4 linked regions of the Bombyx mori genome follow. The protein of the gene in region 4 interacts with the protein of the main gene of each other region in a pairwise test. Links are inferred from orthologs where the notes say so. Each region holds a gene or a part of one and is shown on either strand. Other genes may lie near its edges. The genes, in order: potassium voltage-gated channel protein Shaker, mucin-2, vang-like protein 1 and disks large 1 tumor suppressor protein.

What was found.
Region 1: the proteins of disks large 1 tumor suppressor protein (region 4) and potassium voltage-gated channel protein Shaker interact in binary tests that used the Drosophila melanogaster proteins (3 or more experiments, as listed by UniProt). The link is inferred for Bombyx mori from reciprocal best matches to the Drosophila melanogaster genes dlg1 and Sh.
Region 2: the proteins of disks large 1 tumor suppressor protein (region 4) and mucin-2 interact in a two-hybrid assay, tested with the Drosophila melanogaster proteins (4 studies listed by BioGRID). The link is inferred for Bombyx mori from reciprocal best matches to the Drosophila melanogaster genes dlg1 and gukh.
Region 3: the proteins of disks large 1 tumor suppressor protein (region 4) and vang-like protein 1 interact in a two-hybrid assay, tested with the Drosophila melanogaster proteins (3 studies listed by BioGRID). The link is inferred for Bombyx mori from reciprocal best matches to the Drosophila melanogaster genes dlg1 and Vang.

What each region holds. Positions count from the first base shown.
Region 1 is NC_085107.1:19,179,474-19,183,043, forward strand, and holds part of potassium voltage-gated channel protein Shaker, read left to right. Parts: intron 1-580; coding exon 581-742; intron 743-857; coding exon 858-1,501; intron 1,502-2,462; coding exon of another isoform or gene 2,463-2,592; intron 2,593-2,688; coding exon 2,689-2,818; intron 2,819-3,570.
Region 2 is NC_085115.1:5,308,154-5,312,349, forward strand, and holds the start of mucin-2, read left to right. Parts: upstream 1-1,390; 5' UTR 1,391-1,719; coding exon 1,720-2,008; intron 2,009-4,196.
Region 3 is NC_085129.1:14,699,854-14,704,170, forward strand, and holds the start of vang-like protein 1, read right to left. Parts: upstream 2,835-4,317; 5' UTR 2,033-2,834; coding exon 1,947-2,032; intron 977-1,946; coding exon 8-976; intron 1-7. Other genes in the region: uncharacterized protein LOC101743234, read left to right, coding at 2,863-3,337, 3,716-4,317.
Region 4 is NC_085118.1:7,810,947-7,814,516, forward strand, and holds part of disks large 1 tumor suppressor protein, read right to left. Parts: intron 2,515-3,570; coding exon 2,446-2,514; intron 373-2,445; coding exon 223-372; intron 1-222. UniProt on the Drosophila melanogaster protein: During embryonic development, some isoforms are essential for proper neuronal differentiation and organization. Required for cell polarity; maintenance of apicobasal polarity.

The sequences.
Region 1 (3,570 bases), on a different chromosome or scaffold from region 4:
ATATCTATGGGCTCCAGTAACCACTCGACACCAGGTGGGCTATGAGTTCGTCCACCCATCTAAGCAATATATAAAAAAAATGAAAATTTCAAAATCAGAAACCTAAGATCCGTTGGAGAACCGGTTTCTCAGTTGCAGTGAGGTAGAATTGATCACTACAACATAGTGAATTTAGGGCTGCTTTTATATCAAGATTTCTTAGATGTTATTTACCTTACAATTACCATCAAATCAATTTGCTTTGCTTAGATGGGTAGACGAGCTCACTGCCCACCCGATGTTAAATGTTTACCGGAGCCCATAGACATCTACAATGAAAATACCGCCACATAGTTTGCGATATAAGTTCTAAGGTCTCAGTATAGTTATAAGGGCTGCCTCATCCTTCAAACCGAAACGCATTCTGCTTCACGGCATACAAATACACAGGATGGTGGTACCTACTCGTGCGAACCTACCAGAGGTCCTATCACCAGTAAAGTGAGTTTTAAGGTCTCACTTTTAACAGTACAATTACAATTTTAACAGTACAGCTTAATTAATTTAAATAAAATAAGCTAATAATAAATAAATGGTACAGGAACGAGTACTTCTTCGACCGGAACCGACCGTCTTTCGACGCCATCCTCTACTATTACCAAAGCGGAGGACGACTCCGTCGCCCGGTAAACGTCCCCTTGGACGTCTTTTCTGAAGAGATCAAGTTCTACGAACTGGGAGAGCAGGCCACCAACAAGTTCCGGTAAGATGATTTAGTTAAATTAGAAAATTATACAAAATTAAAGTTTCAAAATACATACTTACTTATTCGTATAAGGAAGGTCGGTGAGTGGATAAAGATAATCGTTATCTTACAGTGAGGATGAAGGTTTCATCAAGGAGGAAGAGAAGCCCCTTCCCTCCAACGAACGCCAGCGCAAAATCTGGCTGCTCTTCGAATACCCCGAGAGCTCCCAGGCCGCGCGCGTCGTTGCCATCATCTCGGTCTTCGTCATCCTCCTCTCCATCGTCATCTTCTGCCTGGAGACCCTTCCTGAATTCAAACACTACAAAGTCTTCAATACAACGACCAACGGCACGAAGATTGAGGAGGACGAGGTCCCGGATATCACCGATCCATTCTTCCTTATTGAAACACTCTGCATCATCTGGTTCACCTTCGAATTGATCGTGCGGTTCTTGGCGTGTCCCAACAAATTCAACTTCTTCAGAGACGTCATGAACATCATTGATATAATCGCCATTATCCCGTACTTCATCACCCTGGCGACCGTCGTTGCCGAGGAGGAAGACACTTTGAACCTACCGCGAGCTCCCGTATCTCCGCAAGATAAGTCCACCAACCAAGCCATGAGCCTGGCTATTCTGCGGGTAATCCGTCTCGTGCGGGTGTTCCGGATCTTCAAACTGTCCCGCCACTCGAAGGGATTGCAGATTCTTGGCAGGACGCTCAAGGCGTCCATGCGAGAACTTGGCCTGCTGATCTTCTTCCTGTTCATCGGTAAGGCACGAAATAGAATAGACACCGTACCAGTCATGTTCATACATTTTTAAATTACTCGAAACTTACCCCAAGTTTTTTAAGGATCCTTTTTGTGCAGACGTCAAGACGACATCAAGAATCACCCAAATCTAATAACGAAATTGATAATTTAAAAAATTCAACAAACTAAAAAATATTTCAAGATTTCAGTTTGTAAGACATAAAAAAAACTTGAAAGAAATCTCTCGAAGAGCGATTTATTATTAAAATACTAGTAGCACATATTATATTAACCCTATACTCTAAATTTTGCAATTCTGAATTTTATACTAGAGAAATTATGTCGACTATAAAAAAATATACACATGATTGATTACGTGTCATAATTTCGGCTTTAATCTTTTACTTTCTTTGCCTAATACTAAATCAGATGCAGACAAAAAATAAAATAGGGCGTGGGGTAAATAAATAGGGTACTTAGTAAATACTATATTACAGGATTTTGCAAGACTCGATGGGGTAGAGTAATAGTAAATATAGCGACTCGAAGTAGTCAGTTTTTTTAGTTAATAAGCTAATGTATATGATAACTCATATACATATTATGTATATGGGGACGGGCCTCATTAACATGATAATGACCTGAAAAACCTTATATGAGGTATTTTAGTGCGAAATTCGTTCCGAATTTATATAGACGCATTTTAATGAAACTAATTTAAAAGCTTAAAAGTCAAATTTAAATGACTCGATAGCCTTAGTATTAGCAAGGTTCGGTAGTCAGAAACCAAGGGTTAAATAAACATGGTTTTTTTTTTGTTTTTTTTTGTACATTACCATTTAATTTTTCTTCTAAAGCATATAATAAGAATGCAAAACACAAGAAGCTCGTGGAGTACTCGGTACAACGGATGGCATCGGAGAGCGCGCACGCACCGGGCCCAACCCACATAGTGCACATTCCGTCTTGTGTTCGCAGGGGTGGTCGTGTTCTCGAGTGCAGTTTTCTTTGCTGATAAAGAATGTGTAGAGACCAATTTTTCATCAATTCCCGATGCGTTCTGGTGGGCCGTTATAACGATGACCACCGTTGGCTATGGAGACATGAGGTAACCCCGTTGACTCAAGGCCCCGCCAGCTCGCAAGCGCTCCCCCTCACTGTATGTCGCACTGTATTCTCCGTTCGTGTGTGCTTGTTCTTAAAGGTGTGGTGCTGTTTTCGTCTGCGGTGTACTTCGCTGAAGCCGGAAGCGAGAACAGCTTCTTCAAATCCATACCTGATGCGTTTTGGTGGGCGGTCGTGACAATGACGACCGTAGGATACGGAGACATGACGTATGAAACAGCGACTACACCCTAAGTTTCATTTTTGCCTCTCGTCATTTCATTTTGTCCCACAACCTTATATTGGCATACTTAACACTATTGTTGATTTTCTTTCGCCACATCATGTAACTATACATTCGCTTCAGTTTGAGTTAATTGTCGGTTCGCTTAGAACTTAACCGATCACGTTAATTTATTTATTTCACTCTATACAAGTTAATGCACGTTCTGAGATTTTTCCTTACTGTCTCAATTGAATTTCGAATTTATTTATCTATATCATTATTCTCCACGTCGTCTGAACAAGTTTTACATGGAAGCGTATTTGTAAAATTCTCATCGGAATAATACAGTGAGCGCAGTTAGCGCAACAGATCTCGTCGCCGGTGTGACTATCGCCTCTTCCAAAGCGTATTTTAAGCCCGTATCCACTTAACCTAACCGCTTTCGTTGCGAGCACTTCACCTCTGAGAAAGTCTGGCTGCTCCCAACCTGCGCAGCTTGAATCCGAAGCGGCATCTATATACCACCACCACCACCACCGATGTTCGCTCCACAATAACGCTTACGCTATATTGTCAATGTATCCTAAATGTTTGAATGTATGCATCGATGTTGTGGCGCCTACACTGATCGACATAAGCTCATCGAAAATGGTGGCAAGAGCCGGCCGCACTGTTGTCATCATCGCATTTGTACTGTAGTGGATCTCATCGTGTTATTGTAACGCTTGTGATCACTTAGTAATCTCGTTGCCTCCT
Region 2 (4,196 bases), on a different chromosome or scaffold from region 4:
TTCCGATCTGGTGGTAGATTCTGCGAAGCACTGCTCTTGCTAGGGTCAGTGTTAGCATCACACCCGGTTTGAGCCCCGTGAGCTCACCTACATGTCAAGGAGAAGCTGAAATAGCATCTCAAGGCTATCAGCATAGGGAGGAAAAAAAATCAGGACTACATAATTATGGTACAATTTGGGAATAGACTAAATTGTACTTATTTTTACAATATATACTCATATTACCAATGTGCTCGATGCACTACAATTAAATCAAAAACGACAAGGCGTCCATTTTTTATTTTTGTAAACATTTTCAAGCTTGATAGAATCTTTAGAGTTTAGAGTATGGAATTGAAAATGGTTTTTAAAAATGCAAAACAGCGGCATCTATGATCTAATATCACGAAGAAAAACAGGAAATAAAAATCCCGTGCCATCTCGTGAGCCGCAAACGAACAATTTAAAGCGGTAGGTCAAAAAGTATGAGTTTGCCACTTTCGCATTAGAGTACACCTATGTCTTCCTAGATGGCGCTAAATTAAATTTTATAAAAATAAATAATGTTGCTATGTTAAAAAAGAAATATTTAAAACATGGTTAATTTTAACTATTGTCGAATTTACGAAAAATAATATAATTTAAATTAATTTAACTACAAAAAAGACATGAAGAACAACGGACAAGGGAAGCTAGTTTGCTTCTCTTTATTACAGTTTTTCCAAGTAAACTAATCCGAAAATTGGTTCTACAAATCGTTAATACTTTGAATAAAAACCAACGAAAAACCAATTGGCATAAAAGTGTAAATTTAACATAATATATTTCGATCTTTATTTTATCCCGTTTATTACAATCGTTCTCGAAACCAGGTTGAACGCAGGATTTTATTTCATCCCTGTTGCAGGTCCACGAAGTTTGAAATGAATAAAATTGCATTTCGTTTATTAAATGAACGTTGTATTCTGCCTAGATCCAGATAGCTCGTTATCCATTTTTATTATCAATAAAGGTTGCAATACGCCCTGTCTATCAACCAAGTTACTAGTGATAGGTCATATAGATATAATAAAGCTGTATAAGGAATAAAAAGTCTAGTTTTGCCGCGAAGCCGTTATCCTAAACTCGTTAGAATTTTAATGTGTAAGCTCTGTATATAACTTTTTTGTAAAACAAATAAGACTTCTGACCTCATGTCTCATAGTAAACGGTAGTTTTCATATAGTGGTGTCTGTGGGTTTCGGTAACCACTCAAAACCAGTTCAGATGGGTTGATTAATTGTAATCTAATATCATAATTTAGATTAAATTGGGTAAGACTACAGCTGATAAAAATCATTGGAAGTTTCGCTATATATGCTATTCTTAGTGCTGGTATCACAATTCGTTGTGAACATTTTGTTCCATTCGATTCCATTCATTCTGCAGACAGCATTGAGTAGGGAGTGTGGTGCGTGTTGCTATGATAATGGCGGGATTTCGTAAACAAGAAGTTTCTTTGAAACTTTTCTGAACTTATTATCTGAGTTAAAATATTTTCTCATCAACTAATACGTAACCTGAACTGCATGTCTTAGCAAAAACAAGGGTTTTAGTGAAAGTTCACCGGTCAGGATGTCGGTTAATTCAAAGTGGCGGTTACCTGACGTTTTTTGTGATAATGTGTTGAATGGATGTGGGAATTACATTTAATTCGCAGTGCGGGAATGGGTGAATGAATATTTCGGAACTAATATCGAGATGCCTTTCGTGCCACGTGCGGTCGAACCTAAGTATTTGTCACGGACAAGTTTGCGAGACGAAAATGGAAAGCCAAAAATTGCCGATGAAGAATTACAAGCTGTAACTAACTGCACTTTGACGAATGCGCTCAGACAGCTCGCCTCGCTCGTGCTTCTTGCCGAGGATATATTCAGCGAGCTAACAGAGCAGCTGCAAGAGATAACAATACGGTCTAAGGCGGCACAGACGAAGATCGAAAAAATCAACGAAGTGGTCATTAACTTTGACCCGAAGAAAGTGCCAGTCCGTAAGTACTAAACCTTACGTATTACAATCTTGAGTCGAATTTAAATCAGCCATCAGCGTAAATCACCAGTTTCTTACGACATCACATATATTCCGCTTAGAAAGGCGGCAAATTACTATTACAATAGTAGGTGGGCAGACGAGCTTAAATCCCAACTGGTATGAAGTGGACAGCGACAATCGTAAGTAGCCAAACAGACTTAAACTACGACATTGTACCAAATATTTTCAAGAGATCCATCAAATGTTTCCGTCATTAATAATAAGGTATTATGGTGATAATGATAGATACCTAGTTAATATCAACCATCACCGGTTACCATTAACAATGTCTGGCAGCTGCTTCCCTCATCTACTACTAGAAGCTTATAAAAACTCTTGAATGTACCAAATATTTTCAAGAGCTCCATCAATTTTTTCCGTCATTAATAATAAGGTATTAATACAGTATTAAGGTGATAATTATAGATAGTTAATATCAACCATCACTGGTTACCATTAACTTATATCTGGTAGCTGCTTCCCCCATCTATTACTAGAAAAACTCTTGAATAGTTCTTCCTACAATTAGTAGGTATTATATACCAGAACAAACATCAAAATAAGTAAAGTACGTATCAAAGTACGTATCTTAAAATATTTAGGTTTATATCCAAAATTTGGAATATTACTGATAACCCAAAAAGGTCTCGTTTAATGAAGACATAAACCTGATTGCCGGTTCTCTGAATAAAGTTAGGCAAATTTATTCGCTCTGAGATAACCATTGCCAATAACACATTAATCATTGTTATATCGAATTAGATCAAGAATCTAGTACGATGCGAATTACGATATAATAACAGGTAACTAACTTCAAGGACGTAGGTAAATCATAATAATTATAATTTTAGAAAGAAATTATGTTTATTTCTGCATTTGACATAATATGTTTTGTAAAGAGATTGTATCCTGAAGTCGTGATGTTATTATTATTAGGATTCAGAATTTAAAATAAGAATGCATTCTATGTGATTGCATTAGTAAACAAACAAAAGCATCCACATTATTCCACGAGTATTTAATAATTAAATATATATAAAAGTATAAAATAATGTTATACAGTTACAAATTGGTATAACGTAAAATATTGTATAGATTAAAGTTAGAATATTCTCGAAAAGTCTTACAACAATTTTACGGCGGCTTTTCGAAATAGAAATGAAACGGAACTCTTTATTGTAAATAATTGGTAGAATTTATTGTGTCTGCTCAGGTCGGTACCAAGATCCAGTTTCATTCTGAGCGCAAGTTTAAGGGAGGAAAATTACTAAATTCGAAACTTAGATCTCATTTTTCATGCATCTTTCATTTATGATTCGCGCCTGGACTCTGACGACCACTTGTCTACCAATCTATTTTTTTTTTAAATAAACCTTGAATTACAACTTATTATCATTCCATTACTATGTACCTCAGAGAAGTTGAATCTGCCGCTCTTACAAAAAACGCATGACGCATTGTAATGCATTACCGAGCTCTATCTAAAACCTGTTTTGGAGTTCGAACGGCCCGTGATAGAAAAAAAAAAACACCTCCCGGATTCCAATGCGAACCATAAAAACGTTTCGAGATAATTTCGAACCATCCAGTGATCAAGCGCCGGCTTGTGATTCCGACCGCTCAAGTATTTAACACTTGAATACTGCGATTCGTTTTTTTTTATTTTTATTTACAGAACACACGCTATTCATAAACCCACTCGCTATGAACATTCTTGAACGTTCTGTAATTCTAGTTATATTCACTTACTAGCTGACCCGGCAGCCTTCGTAGTGCCTCAACCGATAAATAAAAGACCTAAACTTTTGTATAAAATAAACTTAAACAAAAGGAATCCGTCCGACGGAGCACACTTAAAAGGAAAAACAAAATTGTATTTTTTTTATTTAATTCCGAGTATTTTCATATTTATCTACCTTTTAAACCTTCTCTGGACTTCCACAAATAATTCAAGACCAAAATTAGCCAAATCGGTCCAGCCGTTCTCGAGTTTTAGCGAGACTAACGAACAGCAATTCATTTTTATATATATAGATTTAATTTTCGCTATTTGGTACTTGATTACATTACACGAATCGCTGGTTCTGACGTAGAAACGGAAAAACCCAGCAGTTTTTAATTTGTTCTTATTAGTACGGCTGGACCAC
Region 3 (4,317 bases), on a different chromosome or scaffold from region 4:
TACAAACCTTGTTTGTCCTGCCGCATTTGTGTTAGATCCATCGACATCATAAAATTTAATACTGGATTGTGCCTTTCTCTGACTCTTCGATATTGGTATCTTCTCCAGATATGGGTTATATATCGGAAACTCGGTATAATATCTCTGTAATACCCATACGGCAGCTCTTTGGATGCTTAATTGGCCTATTGCATATGATCTACTCTCTCCATCAGGACTTCTGACGATTTTAATATAATAATTCGGCTCTAAATGTCTTATTTCTATCAAGATTACTGCTACATAATGTATGAAAAGCAATGTATCTGCAAAACTCGATACATATGTAACAAGAGCTTTGTAATCTGTTGCATCTTCACCTAATGCTATTGCTTTAGTTGCCTCCGTTATCTGAACAATGTAGAAGAGCCAGTAAGAAAATGTGCATACTGCTATCATCACTAGAGTTACAGCTCGAAAAACAAATATTCTTGGTAAAATGGCATTCCGTGGCCTAAGGAATGCTGCCCATACTCCTATAGCTAATAATACAAGTTTAAATGCCAGTGACAAAAGAACACCTTTGCATTCCGCTGTGCAGGCTAGCAACTCCATTTGTTGACTGGGTTGCAAGATGTTATCACTCAGTCCCGGAAAGAAACCTATTTTTGGTAAAACTACCATTGTTAGTGGACTGATGAAGGCCACAAATGTCAATCCCAAAGCCAAAGTTGTCCCAAAGTATCTTGAGCAGACAAAACCTAATCCACCATCTGACTCCATAGCCCAATTACTGACATCTTCCATAGATTGAGAACCTTCAGATGTGTTGCCAGTTACAGCAGTTGTATTTTCTCCCCAGTTCTCATCTTGTGGGAGAATCTGAACTTCTATTACCTCCTGGCCATCTCTACCTGTTTCAGGGTTTATGTTGACACTTGTTTGAAATGGTGCCATTATGTTGTCACCGCTTTCTTTCCGTTGTGATTTTGTACTCCTAAAAAGATGAGCAATTTATTTCTATGCACATATTTGTGATATATTATGATTAATTCATATTTATTAACTTCAGTAATATTTAATGCATCGAAATGTCGGGATGCAATATATATTTTTAACAGAGATGGGCAACAAAGCTAACAGATTACTTGTTTGATATTTCCTCTTAGACAATGGAGCTTACAATGAAAATATAAGTACCTACTTTGAAACAAAGCTTCATACAGTGATTTAGTTTTTTTTATGATTTTTCAATAGTGGTTCCATCATTTGTTAATGGACCTCAGACAGTTTTAGTAAATATTAACACTAAATGACTACAATAAGTTTACAAATAGTAAGTTTTGTAAGATAATGTGTGTCTATTTGTATATTAGGAGATACCTAGTTTAGTTTTTGTTAAGTTTCTGTGATAAAATTAAATTGAAACTTTAATTTCAAAATTAATTTCTAAATAATGTAATGTCTACATGCTTATAGACTCATTGAAATTTAAACTTTTTTCTACCATGGTCGAGAGTGGTTACCATCGCTCATGGAGATCGGTAATAACAAGAATAGTCCATATATGGGTGACCATCAAGTTATCATCAATAACATTCACAATAATAGTGATTACAGTGAGAAGACATACAGCATAATTAAATTGTGTTGGAGTTTGGCATAATGGCAGGCAACACTTGTAACATGTGAAGTAAAAGTTTCCGAGTGTTGAAATGCTTATTTAAATGTTTAAAACAGATGATTGTCTTCTGTTCAGCCATGACTAGGACTTCTCATCTAGAGACAGACAGTGCAACATCTTAGGTTTTTATAAAAATAAAATATTATAATGGTGTGATAGTGTACAAAGTGTTTGTAATATATATTAATCATGAAGCAGAGTGTTTTTAAATAGCCCACCTTCAGAACCCCGTCCCCTCAAATTTGACCATCCAACAAATTGAATGACATAATTACAAACTCACCTGGTGCTTCGGTGCGTGTTGTGCCTATGTCTGGAGCTGCGCCGGGATCGGCTGCTCAACTCGGACCTCACCGATTCTGTCTCCATGTCTCAAACAGCAGTTTGTATTTCTCTACCTCATCCATTACTCATTATATATCTTAACTCGAAGACCCATTACAGACAAATTCCAGCTTATAATTAATAGGTTTTAACTTTAACACGGAACCGTGTCCACAAATATTTGTTTTTCAGTACATATTAAAATTCAAGCATTTTACATATTTTATTTATTAAATGAGGAATAGTGAACGTATTTAATAAATCCAACACTACAAAAACTATGTTTACATTGCAATGAATTTACTAAAATTAAAAAAAAACCTACAAAATTACTTTCTGTGTTCCAGTCAAAGAGATTTTTGCCGTTCGAAACTACGAAATTAAAAGAGTAGGTATAATATAGGTTAAATCGTGTTTGAAGTTGCGGTCGGGCTATTCCATGTTAACACTAATATTTTCTGACATCTATCTCTTTTATTCATAACCTCTGTAAGACTTTTAAACATAGCCGTATATTTTTTGTGGGTGCATTCGAAAACCAATATTTGCACTTAATTATAATTGAAATGTTTATTACTTTTTCTCTTCAAGTCAATAAATTTAATTTAGTTTAAATCAAATTTATCACATTTGCATGTAAAATTATTTATACCTTTCGATTTTTTAATAAGTACAGAGCCTTACTGATCAATTATATTTTTTATGAGCCTTAGGCATTTATTTTATTGTGATATTTTGGCACTGATTTCAAAAATGTAGCACAGGTGATTACGCAAAATGATAAATGATAAGATAACGAACCCATACCTTATAGATAACTCATTGACTACTCACTAGTTTGAACATGAAGTTTTTGTTTGTACACATTTAGAAAAATGGAAAATCCAACTCTTACCGACGCCAGACAGACCGACAGGGTCGAAAACCGGACAGAAGATTTACATCTGGACAGGGTTGTCGCTTCACAGCCAGAAATTGGACCAACGCCACCTGACGGTGGTTACGGTTGGTTGATAGTTGTATCTGCGGTGATTTACCACATAACAGTGCCTGCAGTGTTAACATTGTACGGATTAATCATATTGAAGGCGATCAGAGAAGAGGGCCATGAAAAAGAAGAATTGTTGAAAATATGGGACGTAGACATAGCCCTCGTACCAGTAATTATGGTTGTCATAAGGTTACTCTTGGAGTCATGGTGTCGAGCGATCGTGAAGATATTCAACATGCCGAGGTTCATGGCGCTTGCCGGCTTATGCCTGACGGTAGCCGGCATTCTGCTCTCTAGCTACTCCACTGATGCCACAACCAATGACCACATTGTGAATATATTCTCTGGCATATTCGCAGGTAAATAACAGATGCAAAATATTATATTCATGCTATATAGACAAATTAAAATAGATATAGAATTATGACAGATGAATTATCAATATAAATAATGATTGTTGCATATTACGAGATTTATAGGTCTGACGTAAATGTTATACGCTAGTAAAATAGCACTAGGTCAGTAAAGTCTAGTGTAAATAAGTCGGGACTCATTCATTTTAGTCGGAATTCGCATCATTGTTCTTAATAATAATTATAACACATCAGAAAAAACTCAACTGTTATTTGAAAACATACTACGAATCTTTTGTACGATTAATAGTCATATTTAAACAGGTGCGGAAAGCATTTGCGAGATCTACAAACGACTGTAAATTGTTATTCGTGTGCTTTCAGGTATCGGCTGCGCATTAACGGGTCAGCAAACAGAGGTCATCATAACACACTTCTTCAGGGAAAAACTGACCATGGCTCAGAGGATAGTCCGGATGGCTCCTTCAGTAGGAAATTGCTTGATACCAATACTAGTCGGCTATCTTTGCACGGTATACACTGGCGACATTGTAGTCATGATCTACGGTGCTATTGTGATGCAAAACTGTCTGTTTTTGGCCTCATACACTCGTCCTATTTACATCGAGAAAGTTATCCGACACACTTACAATATGCTAAGAGAGGCAGTTGAAGACGAAGATGAAGTTATATTTTCTAATCAAGCTCGTGTTTCGAATGAGAGGCAACAGTCAAGACAAACGAATAACAGTTCGATTAATAACGAGCCATTACCTAGCAATGCGCAAGAGGACGACGGTACAGATGTTGTTGTATTCAAATCAAATAAAAACGCTAAAGAAATCATCGATCCTGTCATCCAACATAGAGAAAATATTAATCAAGCACGATTTTCTTCAGATTTCACTAGCGTGGTTGAAGGTGGCAATACGAATCGATTCTCTTCCGACTTTGGAAACTCGAACAGGTTCTCAAGTAACTTTGGA
Region 4 (3,570 bases):
TTCTTCACAATCTTTGTTTAATGTCTATAGTACACCGCAACATACCTGCTATATTTTTATATTTTCCAAAATTTCTGTAAATTAAATGGTTGTCTGGAAGAGATCGCTTTTAGCGATAAGACCGCCTATTGTACAAATGTATCTGCTTTTTGACTGTTTTTTGAATGTGAATTGTGTTTGGTGTGCAATAAAGTGTATTCTCTCTCTCTTTATATTACTCACGAGGCACGCAGCTTCCAAACTTGTCAGGGAACTCGGAAATGAGGTCGTCGTTTATTCTATCTTTCAATGGGCCCAATATTATCACGGGCCGAGTGTACGCGATCGTCAATTGCTGAACTGTTTCGTAAGACAACACCGTCTCGTCTTGACCTGTAAACATTCACGCGCAGTACACATCAGTTTTAATCACATTTAACGTGTAATCATTACGTGGTATCACTAAAGTAGTCATTACGTGGCATCACTAAACTGTTCCCTTGAAACCAACCAGGAATTATTTGTAGATTTCAATTTCGTGCTACCCGTGTTGTATGTAGCAAATCCGTGCCATACCCGTGCCATACAAATTTATATATATTTTTTTTCTACATCAAAAACCATTTCAAATGATTATGGTTATTCACAGAGATCAGCGTATCACAGCGATATTTGTTTGATATATATATATAATATAAATGTGTATTTATAGTTATGAAAATTATTCTATGATATAATTTCATCTATTCAATGGAAACTACCTAAATTATTAAATATTTCGTTTTACTGGTATCTAGTTCACAAGCATTCTCTAGACTAACTCGAATGGTTTCACTACAAACTTATTTCGTACAATATGTATTGTATTGAGAGAGAAAAAAAAACACTTCACGAAAAACCTTATTTGGCAAAGCAATAACTTTTGCTATTCATTTAGAAACTGATTTAAAATCATTTATAAGTACATGCTTTTTCGTAAAATCGTAAAACGTAATTTAGAACATTGTCATATTGAAGCCAGAAATATAAAAGAAGAAATATTTATGTAACAATTTTCTACGATACTTTAAGTTCGACAATTAAATCCATTCATCATTACAGTGGTCTGGCTTGAATACAAAAATCAATGTAATCAATGTAATTCAATAAAAAATAATTAAACACATTAAAAAGCAATGTAGTATGTCATATATCACAGCTGAAGACGAACATAAAGTAACATAAGGCTTTGAAAAAATTTACAGCGTCCCCTATTACGTTTTGAAGCGACAAAAAACTAAATCTATAAATAAACCAGCAGAGCGTATTTGACAAACTGTAAACAAAGCTCGCATGAGAATGTCGCGTCTCGCGTACCGTGACTCGTAACTAGTGAGCGACATGCGTGCGTGGAGTGAGCATGCGCGTGACGCGCCAAGCTAAGGTCTGTGTGCTTAGTGAGAGTTCTTTAACGCCCTCGATAGCGTAACAGTTAATTTGAATTTGTATGGAGTTGGAACGTTTGCCTACGTTTGCCGCTAGGGGCGCTGTTCCGAACTGCATACAAATTTGAGTTAACTTTACGCTATCGAGAACGTTAAAAAACTCGCACTAAGCACACTGTTCAATCGGAACGCACAACCGAACGTATTGTGTCGTGTCGGACTATATTCATTATGCGAAAGCGTCTTGTAATCGATTCCGTCATCGCATATCGTCTTTTCGCATTAAAAGTGTACAATTTCCAAAAATATTCGAAATTGAGTTAATATGCGGAATCATTTGGTATCACCAGTATTTTTCTCATAAATACTATCAAAAGAGCGTAGTTTAGTTTTAGTTTTTTTTTTTAGTTTACTTATGTATTGACTGCTATTAACAAAATTAATAAATAATTTTATCTTACTTTAAAAGACAGATAACTTAACTGGTAAAAAATAAGAAATAAATGTTGCAAAGATGATTAATATTAAAAATATCACATGTTACACCTTTAAAACACTCTCCTGTAAAATTAGTTAGTTTTGAGATTATACAGTTTTAATGCGAGAAGACGATAACGTCAGCGATGAGTGACGTTTTCGCACAATCGGGCGTCAGATACCGCACAACGCTGCGTTGTGCGTTCCGACGGACAAAGCTAAGCACGACGCGTGTAGCGTGTCCCCGTGTGCTTCCAGTGGCCCGCGCGCTGCCCGCTCACTCAGACCGAGCCTGCGCCCCCCTAACACCATTCTAATGATCCAAACAATCTCGTGAGCACGATGGTCAGAGTTTCGAGTGCGGAGAGGCTATTAGATATAATCGCGTTTTATGAAATCAAAAAAAGGTAAAACAACTGAACGAAAGAAATGTCAAATAAACAAAATAAAATTGGAGTGTTATTTGAATGAAAACTACATTTCTAATTGATGATCATAACCAGAATGCGGGAGGTAAGGTATCGGCTACTGCACTCGCAAGCTACGCCTCACTCCCAAAACTTACTCTCGTCCTCGAGATATATGAGCGTTATCTCCTCCATCATGGGAAGTTCCACTCGATACAAGATTTCTCCTATACGTACAAAAATTAATGTTACATATACTTCAAACATGTACGTACACCGTTTTACGGAGGGGGGGGGGGGGGGGGGGGGCGAACCGGAAGAAAAAAAATACTACGGAGCCACAGACTCGCTCTAATTGTCCGAAACATCTCGATTCGAAAATATATTTATACAGAATCGTGAATAGCGCCCAATAAAATAAATAGCAACTCAAAATACGTTTGTCGAATGAGTGATTGAAGTCGTGTCCGTATCGGTATCGGGTTAGGCAACTAGAAGCACGGGACTGAGGCCGGACGAGTCTCAAACCAACCCGCGTGCTCGCTGCGACCCGTTCGTAATGCCGACATTAACTACGTGTTCAACATCCATTATATTCACTGAGCTCTTCCCAAGCAAACCGTGTTCACACGAATTTTCGGAATCTGACACGATTTTTTTAACACAACCAATTAAAAATGGCATCATTACATATATTTTTTTAATTATTTCTTCGCTATAACTACAATATAAACATACCGAATTAAATGTTTATCAGTAGCTTGGGAATTCCGAAAACTTATTATTAACATCGGATACTTTCGAATGAATCAAAAGTACAAGACCGACCGCATGGGAAGAGCTCTTTGTAAAATACAAAAACTAACTAAAACACAGATAATTAATTAGCCGCCGGGCCGTTGTCAGAAAACAACGACAAGCGACAAAGTTACGGCGGGAAATGAAAAACATTGCCAAGATTTCTTTTTTTTTTTTTTTGTTAGGCGACACCATGCTCTTCCACGAATACTACAAAGCAACAGTTTACTCACACTTATCCGGTACGGTTTAAGAATACCGAGTATTGTAAATAGTACCTACACGCTGAATCGTTTCGATAAACCAAAAATAATAATAATTTTATTTAACATTAGCCATAATAATATAATTGTGAGTTGTACGAAGAGTTAAATGTAAATTAATTGAAATAAAATAAGAAAATACATTTGACTAAAACAGTTCGTCTTTTAAGACTCAATCGTTGTTAGGTAAAGCATAGCTTTAATGTAAAGACAACCCAACTT